Linked DNA regions of Ovis aries. The protein of the gene in region 2 interacts with the protein of the main gene of each other region in a pairwise test. Links are inferred from orthologs where the notes say so. Each region holds a gene or a part of one and is shown on either strand. Other genes may lie near its edges.

Region 1 (4,178 bases), on a different chromosome or scaffold from region 2:
CTGTGGCTCTTGTTTATAACTATTATAACACCAGATCTATGACCAGGAGGAACTGAACTGGGCTACAGATTCAGAACCAGAGACTTTGCACCTAGGACAGACCTTGATGATCACAAAATCAGCCTCATCATTTACAAGTAACAAAACCAAACATCATACCTTACTCACACTTTACTTCTGGTTCTGAGCTTTTTGTGCTTTTCAATAACATGTTGCACTTTGGTGCCTTGTCTTTCTCTCTTAAATTTTTTAAAAAATTCCTCCTTGACTCTCCCCATCCATTTCCTTTATTTAAAATTATGTGGCTTAAACTCCAACCAGGAAAACAAAGACATTTATCTGCTGAGTCTGGTGTCCTGCCACCTGAATTGGGCCATCTTCGGAATACTGAAAAAGTCTTTGATGATAACAGCCAGGCAACACTGAATCAGTTTCATGTATGAGTCCCTTCTTCCTTTCTCCCAATCTTTTTTTTTGGCCATGCCGTACGGCATGTATAATCTTAGTTCCCCAACCAGGGATCAAACCCATGGCCCCTGCTGTGGAAGCGTGGAGTCTTAAGCACTGGACCACCAGGGAGGTTCACCCAATCTCCATTCTTGAATCCAGCTACTCCCTGAGTCTCCAGCTATCCTAATATACCTTGGGTTTAACCTAGAGAAGACTAGACTTCTCTTTGGGCTCTGGTAGAAGGTAACTTTGCTGTAACATGAGCCAGGGCATAGAGTTTTCTCATAAAGCTCTGTCACTTCTGTCTGAAACAGACTGACAGTATTCAGAGGAGTAAAATGATTGACTTTTGTGGTTGACTGCCGATTTTCTGTCTTCTACCGTGCCCTAACTGGGAGCTTGCCTTCCCACACTCAGAGTGATTTATGGCTACTCAAGCAAACCTCTGCAGAAAAGATGGATCGGCTTCCCTCAAGAGCCACTCCTTAGCTGCCAGGGGCTGTCAAGTATTCCATCAATTCATACTCAGCCCCGGGGTGCAATAAACGAAATAAGCCGAAACACAAGCTGCTAAGCACCCCTCCAACTCTAACCATCTACAATTCTGCTTTGGGTTTTCCCTCCCTCCTCCACCAAATACTTTTAGAAATTTAAATTTCCTGCTCTTTTCCCCTTTTTCTAAGACCACACGTTTAAAATTGTTAACAGCAAAAGCAATAAATAAATGAATCAAGTCAGAAACTCCTGGAATCTCTAGGAATTTTTCCTGAAAACACTATATTCAAGTACACAATTTGTCATTATTTGGACCGGTATAGGTCGAATGAACTTACATACAAAACAGAAATCTTGTAAATTCCCAGTGACGCAATCGTGGCCACGCCCACTCCGAAGCAGACAAAAGGCGAAGGAGCCTGGCTCAGTTCAAGCCTCCGCGCGAAGACGAGGGAGCCAGTCATCTCATTGTTGCCAGCTCGGTTCAGGAAAGGTATCGTCCTTATCGCATCTTTGGCTCTTATAATATTTTTTGCTTTTCCTCCTTGGCTGTGATCTCTCAAATTGCCTTCTCTGAAGCTTAAGCCTCTTCGTTCCTTTGCCGTCCCTCTCTGGTTTGGCGAGTTAATTAGAATCATAGTCAGATTTCAGAAAATGATTCTCTCTCTGCTGGTGGGAAATTGAGCGACAGAGGAACTGGTTTCCTATGAGAGCATGAGATTACAGCCAAGCCTTCCTTTAGGGGTAGTCTCTGCTGTCAAAAACTATTCAGAGAAAACTGGGAATTTCTAACTCTTTCTCTCTCTTGCAACTGTATAAATTAAATATTTCATGCTTGTTGGGGTTCTTTGGTTTTGGTTTTTTACTTATTCAAATTTTCATCAAATGCCTACCAAATGCAATGCATTGGGTTGGATGCCTAAGAGATACTGAGATTCTAACAGAAGCTTACAGTCTAGCAGGGGAGGCAAATACATAGGCAGATCATTCAAAGGAATTGAAAAGAAGAATGCTGGGTGTGAGCTCACTCATTCATTAAGTGTCTTAGAAGCGCAGAAGGGAGGTGGTTCCCCTTGCAGGTGTCTTGTTCACACAATGGCCAGACTGACAGCTACTGGTGTTTTCTGTTGCAGAAGTGAAGATGGCCAAAGTCCCTGACCTCTTTGAAGACCTGAAGAACTGTTACAGGTAGGAAAGAGATTCTGTCTCTTGTGACTTAATGAGGGAAGCAAGGCACATTAGAATTCAGCTAGGAGGGATTTGCCAGGGAGTCCAGTGGCTAAGACTCTGTGCTCAAAATAAATATTTTTTAAAAAAGAAAGAATTCAGCTAGGATTACAGTAACTATCAATGGGGCAAGACCAGCAGAGGCTATAGAGATGTGTTCTACCTCTGAAGTCAGGGCAGATTCAGAGAAGTCTCAGGGAAATTAAGCATCTAGTAGGTAAACCAAGGTGAAATTTTTGACAGAGAGATGGCCATTTTAGAAAGATTACTTTTAAGGTCTCCTGACTCCTAGCAGTTCTCAACATCTACTTAGACCCAGCTTCAGTCAAATTCACATGCCCTGCTACAGTAATAGATGGTCAGAAAGAGAAACCTTTCTTAGGAAAACTTCTTGACCTCAGTCTGGAATGGGAAATGGCTTCACAGCAATTTGAGCATGTGAAACCTACGCAGTCAGTCTCATTCGGACGCAAAAGAAAGATAATAAAAAGTTTAACTTATAGAACACCTTAAGCAGATGCAGTGTTCCACATTACCTACACGCTAACACAAAGTAGACAATGGAAGTGTTGCCTGCATGTTTTGGAAAGTATAATGATTAAATCTGTTTTAATGAATACATGAAAGCAAAGTGTAACAAATAACCTATTTGATTCAAATTTAGATGAAGTGCTTCAAAAGGAATTCTCCCTGAAGTTTAAATGTTTTCCCTGAAATTCAGTTACCACTCTTCAATCCGTTAGCCAAGCCTCATTTATTTGTTTGTTTTGATGAAGGGGGAGCTAATTTAAAAAATTTTTAATTGAAGTATGGCTGACTTACAAAGTTGTGTTAGTTTCAGGTGTACAGCAAAGTGATTCAGTTATATATGTATATATGTATTTCAGATTATATTCCATTATAGGTTACAGTACCTGTGCTCTACAGTAAATTGTCCAAGCCTCATTTTTATCGATAGAGTACAAGTAAAGTTCAAGGCCTGGTCTGATGATTACTAATTTCACATTATCAGGTACAAATTACTGTATGGATGTGTATGCATAGAAGTCCTTAATTTTCAAAGATGACAATAATGGCTATGTATGTGTGTTACCCAAAGCTAGTTTGGTTATTAAAATATGTTGCCCAGGGAATGTAGTGATATAACAAACAGAATTAAATTCTCATCATCTTGTTTAACAGTGAAAATGAAGACTACAGTTCTGAAATTGACCACCTCTCTCTGAATCAGGTAAGCAAATGACTGTAATTCTTAGGAGACTGCTATCCTTACACAGTATTTTCTCTACTAGAACAGCAACAGCTGAATCTTAGATGCGTTTGTTCTGCCTTCACTGAAGTCCAGAGAGATTCATTTCTTCATGATAAGTGAGGCCAGCTCCCTCTCTAGACTAACAGCTGATGGCACCCTTCATCTCCGTGGATTTTCCCAGAACAGAGGAGAACGAACCTGAAACTCCAAGAATGAAATCTCCTGGGTCAGCCTTCGATCAGAAGGTTGCTTATGCCCTCCCTGGCCAGGCCCCCTGGGCTACTTCCCCAGGGGTTTAAATGATATGTTGTGGATATCCTCTCTAACATCAGCTCCAGAGATTAGAGATAGCTTTCTAGATCTAATAGTCTATGAAGCTGAGGTGGAGGAAGCAGGCCAACTGAAAGTAAAAAATCTGCAGTCATTCAGATGCTGTGTTATTTCGCTAAGAGACCACGAAACAGTATAGGTCCTGCTTTGTGTGTCTTTGATAGTGACTCTAAAAGCTGTATCTAGAGGAATATTCCTAAAATATTTGAGCCGTGTCAAGTAAATGTTTAACCTTCTGGAAAGAACTAACTGGAAGGCTAAATCACTCACTAGCATCACTTGAAGACCCGTCTCATCACTTCTCTCTCTCTTTTTTTTCTTAAACTGAAGTGTAGTTGATTTACAATCCTGTGTTAGCTGCAGGAGTAGAGCATGGTGATACATTTTTTTCTGATGATTTTCTAATATAGGTTATTACAAGGTA
Region 2 (4,255 bases):
AAATTTCCCTGGAACTATCACTAGTTATTTATTAACAAGGAAAATCATTTCCTAAAGGTACCTGGTCCTTACTTATCAGAATCAGTTTTGCAAGTAAAGCAAAGAGCTAATCTTTTGTGGGCCAAGTTAATTTGGGAAGCCCTGGATACTGTGAGAAAGTGGAATAGCCACGACAAAACCAAGACCAAAGAATTAGCATAAATAAAGGTTTTATTGGTCAGTTTGGGTGACTGACACACTGACAGACCTTCAATTCACTGTTCCACACACCCAAGGTCCTGAGGTGGCAGGAAGACAACTAAGCCCATTAATACCAAGCAAAGGGTGGGAAGTGGAAAGAATCTAAAGGTCTCTGTGATTAATTAACAAGGCTACCGGGACCGGAACCAACGTCCTAGGAACAAATCCAGGATGGAAGAGGAATCATCCAAGGATGGAGGTGTTGGTGATTCTGGACCTAAGGGAAAGAGTGATACACACAGGCTAAATGAAGGAGACTGGAAAGAGGCAAAGGAGGGCAGCAATGTTTAATGGTAGGAGAGCAACAGTTTCCCTTTCCCATGGAACTAAGAGATGGATCCCTTTGATTTATACTCTTCACTTACCATCTCTAGGACTGCCGCCTGCCTCTTGATGGGTTACTGTGGTCTCTTTCCGGCCCTCGCTGTCCACCACAGTCCGGCGCTCCTCTATAGTCTACAAGAAGAAGTCCCCCCACCATATCCCTAACATCACTAAAGGTGGGTTCACTTGTTTCTTTACATAGTCCCCCTTTCCAGAACATTCTCTGGTCACAGCTGCCTTTACCCATCTCTCCCAACTCACCCCATCTGGCTTAGTGATCTTGGTCACAGAGACACTCTTGAAATAGGTTTTGGGTTGGGGCTGCAGAACTGGGCCAAGACCCTCCTGAGAAACCTGGGAATCAAGATCTAGAAGGGCACAGAAAGGAAACAAGAAAGAGTCCAAAGCGAAGAAGGGGACAAATGTGGCAGACAGAAATTTCAGGGAGGGACACCAAAGGGCTGGTAAATGTCCTCTCCCTCCAGACTTACCATTGTCTTCTCTGGCTCTAGAGTGGGGGGTCACAGGCCACGTATCATCGAACTGTAGAAGAAGCCAAAGTAGGTCAAATGACACCTTTCAATCTGAAGTTTGAGGGGCCCCAGAACCCAGCCTATTTCCAAGTTCCAAAACTACTTTTTTTTTTTTTTTTCAGGAGAAATGATCCCAGCAGGATGGCTTTCTTTACTCACTCCCCCTCCTTCCTACCTGATTCATGTATTTCTCTACCAAAAAAGCATTCCTGAACTGACACTTTTCTGTCCTCCTTCAAACATTTCTGCTTTCTCCAAGCATCGTCTACAGTAATTTTTAACAAAAAGCAGAACTCCCATTTCCTCCCAAAGAAAATCCTACACAAAGCTTAATATAGAAAACAGACAAATACAACCCAAGTCTGTTAGATTCCAGCAAGGTTTCCAGTCTTTGCAGTCTTCTCCACAGCTCCCACTTCAGGCCCAGATGTACTCACCCTATGAAAAGGTCTCTGGGGGCCCCAGTCTGGTGCTGGTTTGGGGGATTCAGATCTTGCATCACTCTCCAAGCCCCCACCAAAGATCTTGGGCTGGTGACTATCTGGATACTTAAGCATTGAGTCCCGAAGCGTCTGTCCTTCCTGCCGTCTCTCACCAGGTGTCTCTGACTCAGGACCTGGAAGTTCTGCAGAAAGGTGGCAGGTGGATGCTGGGAGTAGGAAAGGACTTGGGCTCTTTTAAATCTCCTTGAAATCATCAGCTTTCTCACACTTCCCAACACCCCCAACTACTCTCTGCAAGTCTTTTTTTTTCACCCACCGACCCAGTAGAAACCACAGGTTCTTCCCCAGGAGCATCCACACACCAGGAGGGCGGGAAGGCAAGGTCCAGGCCCCCATCTCGCTGAAGATGTTGTTGAAATCCCGTACTAGGTCATCAAAGCCGAAGTTATCGTGGAAACGCATTCCTCCTCCCGGGCTGAAGCTGAAGCCAAAGCTAAATTCCTCAGGGGGCTGGGGACCCTCAAACCTCGAGTTCCCACGGCCCCACGTGACTCCTTCTTCTTCCTCTTCCTCATCATCTTCGTCTTCATCGCGAGTCATTCCTCCAAAAAAGGGATCTCTGTGGCTAGGGGTGGAGGCAGATTAGCCACCAAAATTTCAGCACTTAAACCATAGCATCAGCTAAGACTCGACGAGTAGGACAAGAGTTGGGATCTGAGGGCCTGGAGTGAGGGTAGAGGACTGGCCATCGGGTTTGTTTTGCTTCATCAACGTCAGTCCTCACCTGGTGCCCCACCCCACCCCGCCCCGCCCCCAGCGCTTCCCTGCGGCTTTTCTTAAGTGTTTCCCAGCCCCTGCCCTCCCCCAAGGTCTTGCTCACTTGTCCTCGACTCCAGAGCCCATTGTCTTCCCCACCCGGTCCCCTGTTACATCACCCTAAACTGGAGAAAAGCTTAAGCGGCTGTTTCTTCTCTTAGCGACCGCCCTGGTTACTGTCGGGGGGTGAGTGTTCAGTGTTGACCTTTTTTTCCCCGCAGGAGTTTTAGGAGGGTAGAAAAGGATGTTTTTCCAAAAATAGGGTGTCCAGGGTCAAGCTCCCCTCCGAGTACTCCCGCCCCTCCGTGTCTGGCCGGAATCCGCTCTCACCTCCGAGGTCCAGAAAAGCCGAAAAAGCCCCGAAAGAGGTCAAAAAGGCTCATTCCCGTAGTGGGACTCGAACCTTTGAAGCCCACAGCGGGTAGCAGCCAGAGCTACGCTGTCGGAAATTGAGCGAAGCGTCAGACCACGCTGCCGGAAAGCAAGCATGCGATCGCACACTGTCGTAAAACAACCGTAAGCCGGACGTCGCTGAGGGGCGGGGCGGGCGATCCTATCAAATTCTAAAGGCTTTCACTTTTGCCCCCACCTGCTTCCTGTGAAGGGAGCGGGCGTACTGAGTTTTTATTTCCCAACGAACACTTGCCCTCTAAGCCAATTCTTTAGGCCGACCAACCCACTCCAGTAGGGTTTCGAGGGTTTGACGCTTGATGGCACTGGAGACAGCCGCCAGAGGGCACTCCACCCACAGAAATTAACCGGACCCAGACCCTTCCTCATTGCAGACTCACCACACCCACGGACCAGTGTTCTGCCTTAAACCCACCCGCTCCCTTCTTTCATCGTTTGTTTCTCGCCTGACTTAAGTCTAGTATTAGAGGAATGGACAAAATGTATCAAGCTCCTTCTACTTTAATAATGACATCCCCAGAGTAAAAGACACAGGAATGCATGGATTTAACTTCATCTCTCCAGCTATTAAGTAGTTTGCCAACGTAGGCTCTGCAACCATCAGAATAAACTTTGTGAGAGCGCAAGGGAAATCTAGTCAAGTTTTGGGAAGGAAGAATTTGGAGGTGTAAGTGTCCCCTTTTGCCTATCAGTGACTTTCAAAGCCTCTCCCCCTCTCTGTGCCCTCACCTCCTTCCCAAACCTGGCCTTGCTCCAGCCTCCTCCTCTTCAAGGGTGTGGATATTAGCTATGTGAAATGAAAACACTCAAACAGCAAGATCTACTGCTTCAGTTTTGCTAGCCAACAGTGCATATTTCGCACTCATTTCTTTCCAGTTCATTTGCACGGACCCATCTAAATTAAACTTTGATTCTATCAATACAAAGCGATTTCTTTCAGTTCTTGGTTAATCCTCTCCCTTTCCACCCAGTATCAGCTATCCCACTCCCTTCACTGCCTACAATCTGCTACAGATGACGGAAATGAACATTTGCAATGATTCTTTACAGGCACCACTGTGAAATTTTTGAGGGAGGGCGAGGGAATCCCCTCAAGGGCAGCACATTAAGGTCAGAGGAGTTCTTAAAGGGCGAAGATTTCGTTTTTATTCCACCGCCTTCGGGGCCTGCTAGAGAAGGCCCAGTTGGTACAGTAATATTTATTCACCAAGCTGGTCATCGACGAGACTGAGGACATCCTAGACGGAGCAAGAATGGGCAGAGGCTGAAGGTAGAGGTTTTCTTTTTATATATACAAGACACATTAATCCATTAAATTTGAGGACACAGTACAAAAAAAAAAAAACCACTTCAACTAATTCATCTGACAATGCTGTTCATATTCATGACGCCATTTTTTGTTGTTGTTTTGTTTCCTAATAATAAAGGAGGAGACTTAGGGCTGTTGGGCTGATATATATTTGGGGGTCCCCCCTCCCCACCTCACCC
Region 3 (4,195 bases), on a different chromosome or scaffold from region 2:
TATTCCATCTCCAGAAGCTGAAAAGGCATTAGCGCTTGAATCTGGAAGACAGATATCAGTTCGTCTTGGAATTGTTGGACCGTGCCGGATAAAAGAAGGCATAAGATCTATAATAAAACAAAAGAATAAAATGACTAGTAAGTAATATGCTTTTCCAAAGTTGTTTATTTACATCTTACCCCAAAATGAAAAATTTCAATGGACTTAAGAAAACACAATCAGAAACTTTAGCAAAGTATCTGGGTATTTTAAATTGAGGCTGATTGCCATATTCCCACTCAAATGAATTTATAATTTGTATGAATGTGTTATAAGTATGCTCTACCAGATTCAAACATATTCTGCATACTACCAAACATAATATAATGAAACATCAGTAAGTTTAACTACAAAATATGTATTAATGCTCATGAATAAATGTATAAAAATAGTAAACAATCTAACAAATGAATACAGTTACCAGCATAATTTAACATTAGTTTGTTTTGCAGATTGTACTTCATTCCCAAACTCTTCTTTAAGTAAAACACAATTTAAAAAATGAAACAGATCATAATGCTATTCTCAAACATGTAAAGGCGAATTCCTTAAAAAAAAATTTAAAAATTATTAACCTGGCATTCCTACTCTTGGAATTACGTAGCAATAGTACAATACTCAAAAGATGGAAAAACTAAAAATTAAGCTATGAAAATTAAAATTTTTTTTAAATCTCATTTCAAAGAGACACACAAATGTTGAATCAGTTCAAAAACAAACAAACAAACAAAAAACGCCAAGTCTAAAACCATTACAATTCAAAACAATTAAGAACAATTACAATTCAAAACAGAAGAAAACAGGGCAATGGCTTTAAGGGTACAGTACTTCTGAATATAAAACTTAAATAAATACCTTAAGCATTCCTGGTTAGAAAGCAAACACCTTTAAAACAAGAAGAAAACTGGATCTGGAGACCATTTTATTAGTTCACTAAGTAGACAGTATCAGAGGGCACGCATATTAATATGCAACAGAAGCCAAACACACAAAAATTAGTAACCGAATAAACAAGGTTCAACATTTGATGAAACTAAAACAAAATACTATATATCAAAAGTTATTTGCTAAAAGGTGTGGCAAACATATTTCATGATTTTAAGGAATGTTGAATAACACTGTTATCTGAAGCTAACTGCAAGCTAACCTAAACTTGGCCAAAATCCTAAGAGAATATGTAAATGAAAAATAAACTATTAAAAAAAGTTTTTAAAAATCAAGTTTCAGGTTACTGATGTACCCATCTGATCTGTTCTGTAAGAAAGCATTGCAAATACAAGGATAAATCTGGAAGGTTGATGATGTGGTTATAATGGGAAAACATGCTCTCCACCCCTTTTTGTGTGATCTTGGGCAAATATTACCAGGAACCTCTATGAAAAGCTTTCCCAATTACAATATGAGGTAATGCTTAAGTCACAAAGTCACCAGCTTCCAAGAAGGAAACTTAACAAAGGACCCAGCATTTAGTATGAACACCAAAAAACTTGCTCCTTACCTCACAAATGTTCTGAACACATAAGCAAGAATTAAAAACGTAAAAGATTCAGGAGGAAAATTAGAGTCAAATACTTAAATTGAAGATAAAGTGCCAGCGAAATGCACTCTATTAAAAAATGTTTATAACCACACACACAACTTTTTTCGTAATTTTCCCCAAAGTATGATGGAAATTATTTTGAGTCTTTGGCGGATTTCTAGGAGGTTTTATTTGAAGAAATTCTCATGAACACAGCCAAACACATATAATTTTGGCTCTTCAACCCTGAGATCTACAACTGAGGAGGCTTTTTGGGCAGCAGCTACAATAGCGACGGTCAGCTTTCACCTCCGGACGTCATCATCCAATAGCTGGACTAAGAATTCTACTCAAGCGTTCGCACAACTACGAGCAGAGCAAGTGACACCCACAGTGTTTGCAAACACAATGCAAATCTAGACGTCACAAGAGGAAAACGTGCCCCAGTGTAATCCCTTTAATTCCTACAGAACCAGCGGATGAGCAATTTGTTTCCTAAAGAATATCTTTCTTCCAGTAATCAAAACCAACAACATAGTTTCAAGAAGGGAAGTCTGTGGATTTTGACGGGCGGGACAGGGGGCGGGGGGTGGGAACAGAGGTGGACTAACTTAAGTTTTTTACTCTTTATCAGCTTTCAAACAACGAACATCACTCCAGGCATTAAAAAAAAAAAAAAATCACAGAGGCCAAAAGGAAAGAGAAGCCGCGGGGAGCGGCGTCGGACACCCAGCCCGGGTCCCCCGCGGCCGCCCAGGCCAGGTGTGGGCGCACCCCGCCCGACACTCACTCCGCAGCAGAGGCGACGTCTCCTTCTTCACGTACTTCCCCTGCACCTCGGCCGGCTTGGACACTTCGTTTTTGGTTTTCTTCCGGGACAGCATCCTTGACCACGAGGCCCCAGGCCACGCCAAGCAGCCGCCCTAAGGCTCCGCGCCGGGCGCCGGGTGTCCCCGCCGCCACCTCCGCCGGCGTCGCCGCCTCCTTCCCTCCCGAGCCGCCGCCGCCGCCGCCGCCTCTCCGCAGCCCGGGGTTGCCCACAAGGACTGCCGCATGTTCGGGGCGCTAAGCGCGCCGGTCACCGCTCAGTCGCTTGTCAGTTCCTTCCCGGAAGTCTGCCGGCTCCGCGTCGTTGCCCGAGGACTCCGAGAGAAGAGCCAGGAACGCCCGGCCAGGGCCATGGTCCGCTGCTGACCACCTAGTAACCGCTACTGCTGCCGCCGCTGTCGCCGCCTACGTCCCGTAAACTTTCCCTGCGGCCGCTGGGAATTCTGGGAAACTCGACGCAGCGCGAGCGCCGCCGCCCCTCCCCCACCCGCTCCTGGGCGTGGCTCGGGCCAGAGGACGCGGGGCCGCCCTCTCAGCTAACGGGTCGTCCCAGCGTCTTCAGGAGGAGGAGCGGCTGCTTTCACTCCCGCTCGGCGAGGAGCAGGTCTGGTGGGCACTTTGGACGAAACGTGCCAGACTGAGCGCAGGAGGCCGTGGCGCGCTCCTGCAGAGGAACCTCCTCTACCCGCAGATTTTTCTCTCAGGACCTTGAGGGAGCTGGTAATGCCCCCAAGATGCATTCGCGTCCTCGGCCACGAAAGAGGACGTCCCTCTTGGAGTTTTGGGGGCTGGTAAATTCAAGCCCGTAATAGCACAGAACGCCTGTAGAGTCGAAGGAACGCCACCCTTACGCTAATGCTGCAGCCAAAGAAATCTAGATCTTTTTGTTGAAAACACCCCGTTAGTGCCAGGGAGTGTGCGTCTTTCTGATAAAGGAAAACACGGAGGAAGAAGCCGAAGTGGTGTTTCTGTTATCTGTGATGCAAGATAAATTTGATATTAGCGTGATTTATTTATCACTATCATTATCCACCATATATTTCCTCTTGGAAATATGGAGTTGTCAATGGAAAAAAAATAACCTCTCATGGGAATACAAAAGAGTTTTATTTGAGCCGAACTGGGAAATACAAGTCCAGAAGACAGCTTCTCAGGTAACTCTGAGGACATCCTGAGGGGAAGCATGGTTTTCAGCATAGTTTTGTCAGAACAAAACATTCAATAAGTCAGGAATATATTCCTTCAAGGTTTCAAAAAAAAAAAATCAGTTTGGAACACACGAAGTTATTATTGCCTTGGTACGTGGAAAGGGAGTCATCCCTGAAGCAGTAAAAGCATTGGCATCCCAGGAAGGGAGACATTGAATTTTTGTCTTTATCATGGACAGCCTTGTTAAGTGTTAGTTGCCCAGTCACCAGATTACTTCTAAGTTAATGAGCCTGTTAATAAAGCAGATGTACACTATGTGTTGGATAATCCACAAACAGGGCATTTTAGCTAAGGTAAAAACTTGTGTGCAATCCAGAGTGACTTCTTCAGACCTCAGTATGTGAAAATTTCTTTCATAGAGTTAAATACTCCTATTTTAGATTTCTTTCTGTTTTTGTTTTTGAGAATTTTGAGCACTAAAGGTCAAGACCTGGGATTTTTAATCTAAAAGAAACCCTGCTTTCTTCTATTTAACTTAGCAAAGGTGCAAAATGATCAGGATAACATTTGAGAAATAAGATGGGATCCACCTCTAGTGACCAAATTGAGGCTTTGACAATGGAAAGTGCTTTCTTTCCCTAAGATAGGAACCATCTTACA

The links. The genes of interacting proteins can lie anywhere in the genome.
Region 1: the proteins of HAX1 (region 2) and IL1A interact in binary tests that used the Homo sapiens proteins (3 or more experiments, as listed by UniProt). The link is inferred for Ovis aries from reciprocal best matches to the Homo sapiens genes HAX1 and IL1A.
Region 3: the proteins of HAX1 (region 2) and SAV1 interact in binary tests that used the Homo sapiens proteins (3 or more experiments, as listed by UniProt). The link is inferred for Ovis aries from reciprocal best matches to the Homo sapiens genes HAX1 and SAV1.

What each region holds. Positions count from the first base shown.
Region 1 is NC_056056.1:60,201,646-60,205,823, forward strand, and holds the start of IL1A (interleukin-1 alpha), read left to right. Parts: upstream 1-1,376; 5' UTR 1,377-1,438; intron 1,439-2,078; 5' UTR 2,079-2,086; coding exon 2,087-2,133; intron 2,134-3,354; coding exon 3,355-3,403; intron 3,404-4,178. UniProt on the Homo sapiens protein: Cytokine constitutively present intracellularly in nearly all resting non-hematopoietic cells that plays an important role in inflammation and bridges the innate and adaptive immune systems.
Region 2 is NC_056054.1:104,558,257-104,562,511, reverse strand, and holds HAX1 (HCLS1-associated protein X-1), read right to left. Parts: upstream 2,808-4,255; 5' UTR 2,740-2,807; coding exon 2,687-2,739; intron 2,166-2,686; coding exon 1,861-2,165; intron 1,723-1,860; coding exon 1,535-1,722; intron 1,108-1,534; coding exon 1,056-1,107; intron 933-1,055; coding exon 826-932; intron 697-825; coding exon 606-696; intron 458-605; coding exon 372-457; 3' UTR 193-371; downstream 1-192. UniProt on the Homo sapiens protein: Recruits the Arp2/3 complex to the cell cortex and regulates reorganization of the cortical actin cytoskeleton via its interaction with KCNC3 and the Arp2/3 complex. Slows down the rate of inactivation of KCNC3 channels. Promotes GNA13-mediated cell migration.
Region 3 is NC_056060.1:41,781,297-41,785,491, forward strand, and holds the start of SAV1 (protein salvador homolog 1), read right to left. Parts: upstream 2,803-4,195; 5' UTR 2,443-2,802; coding exon 2,349-2,442; intron 108-2,348; coding exon 1-107. UniProt on the Homo sapiens protein: Regulator of STK3/MST2 and STK4/MST1 in the Hippo signaling pathway which plays a pivotal role in organ size control and tumor suppression by restricting proliferation and promoting apoptosis.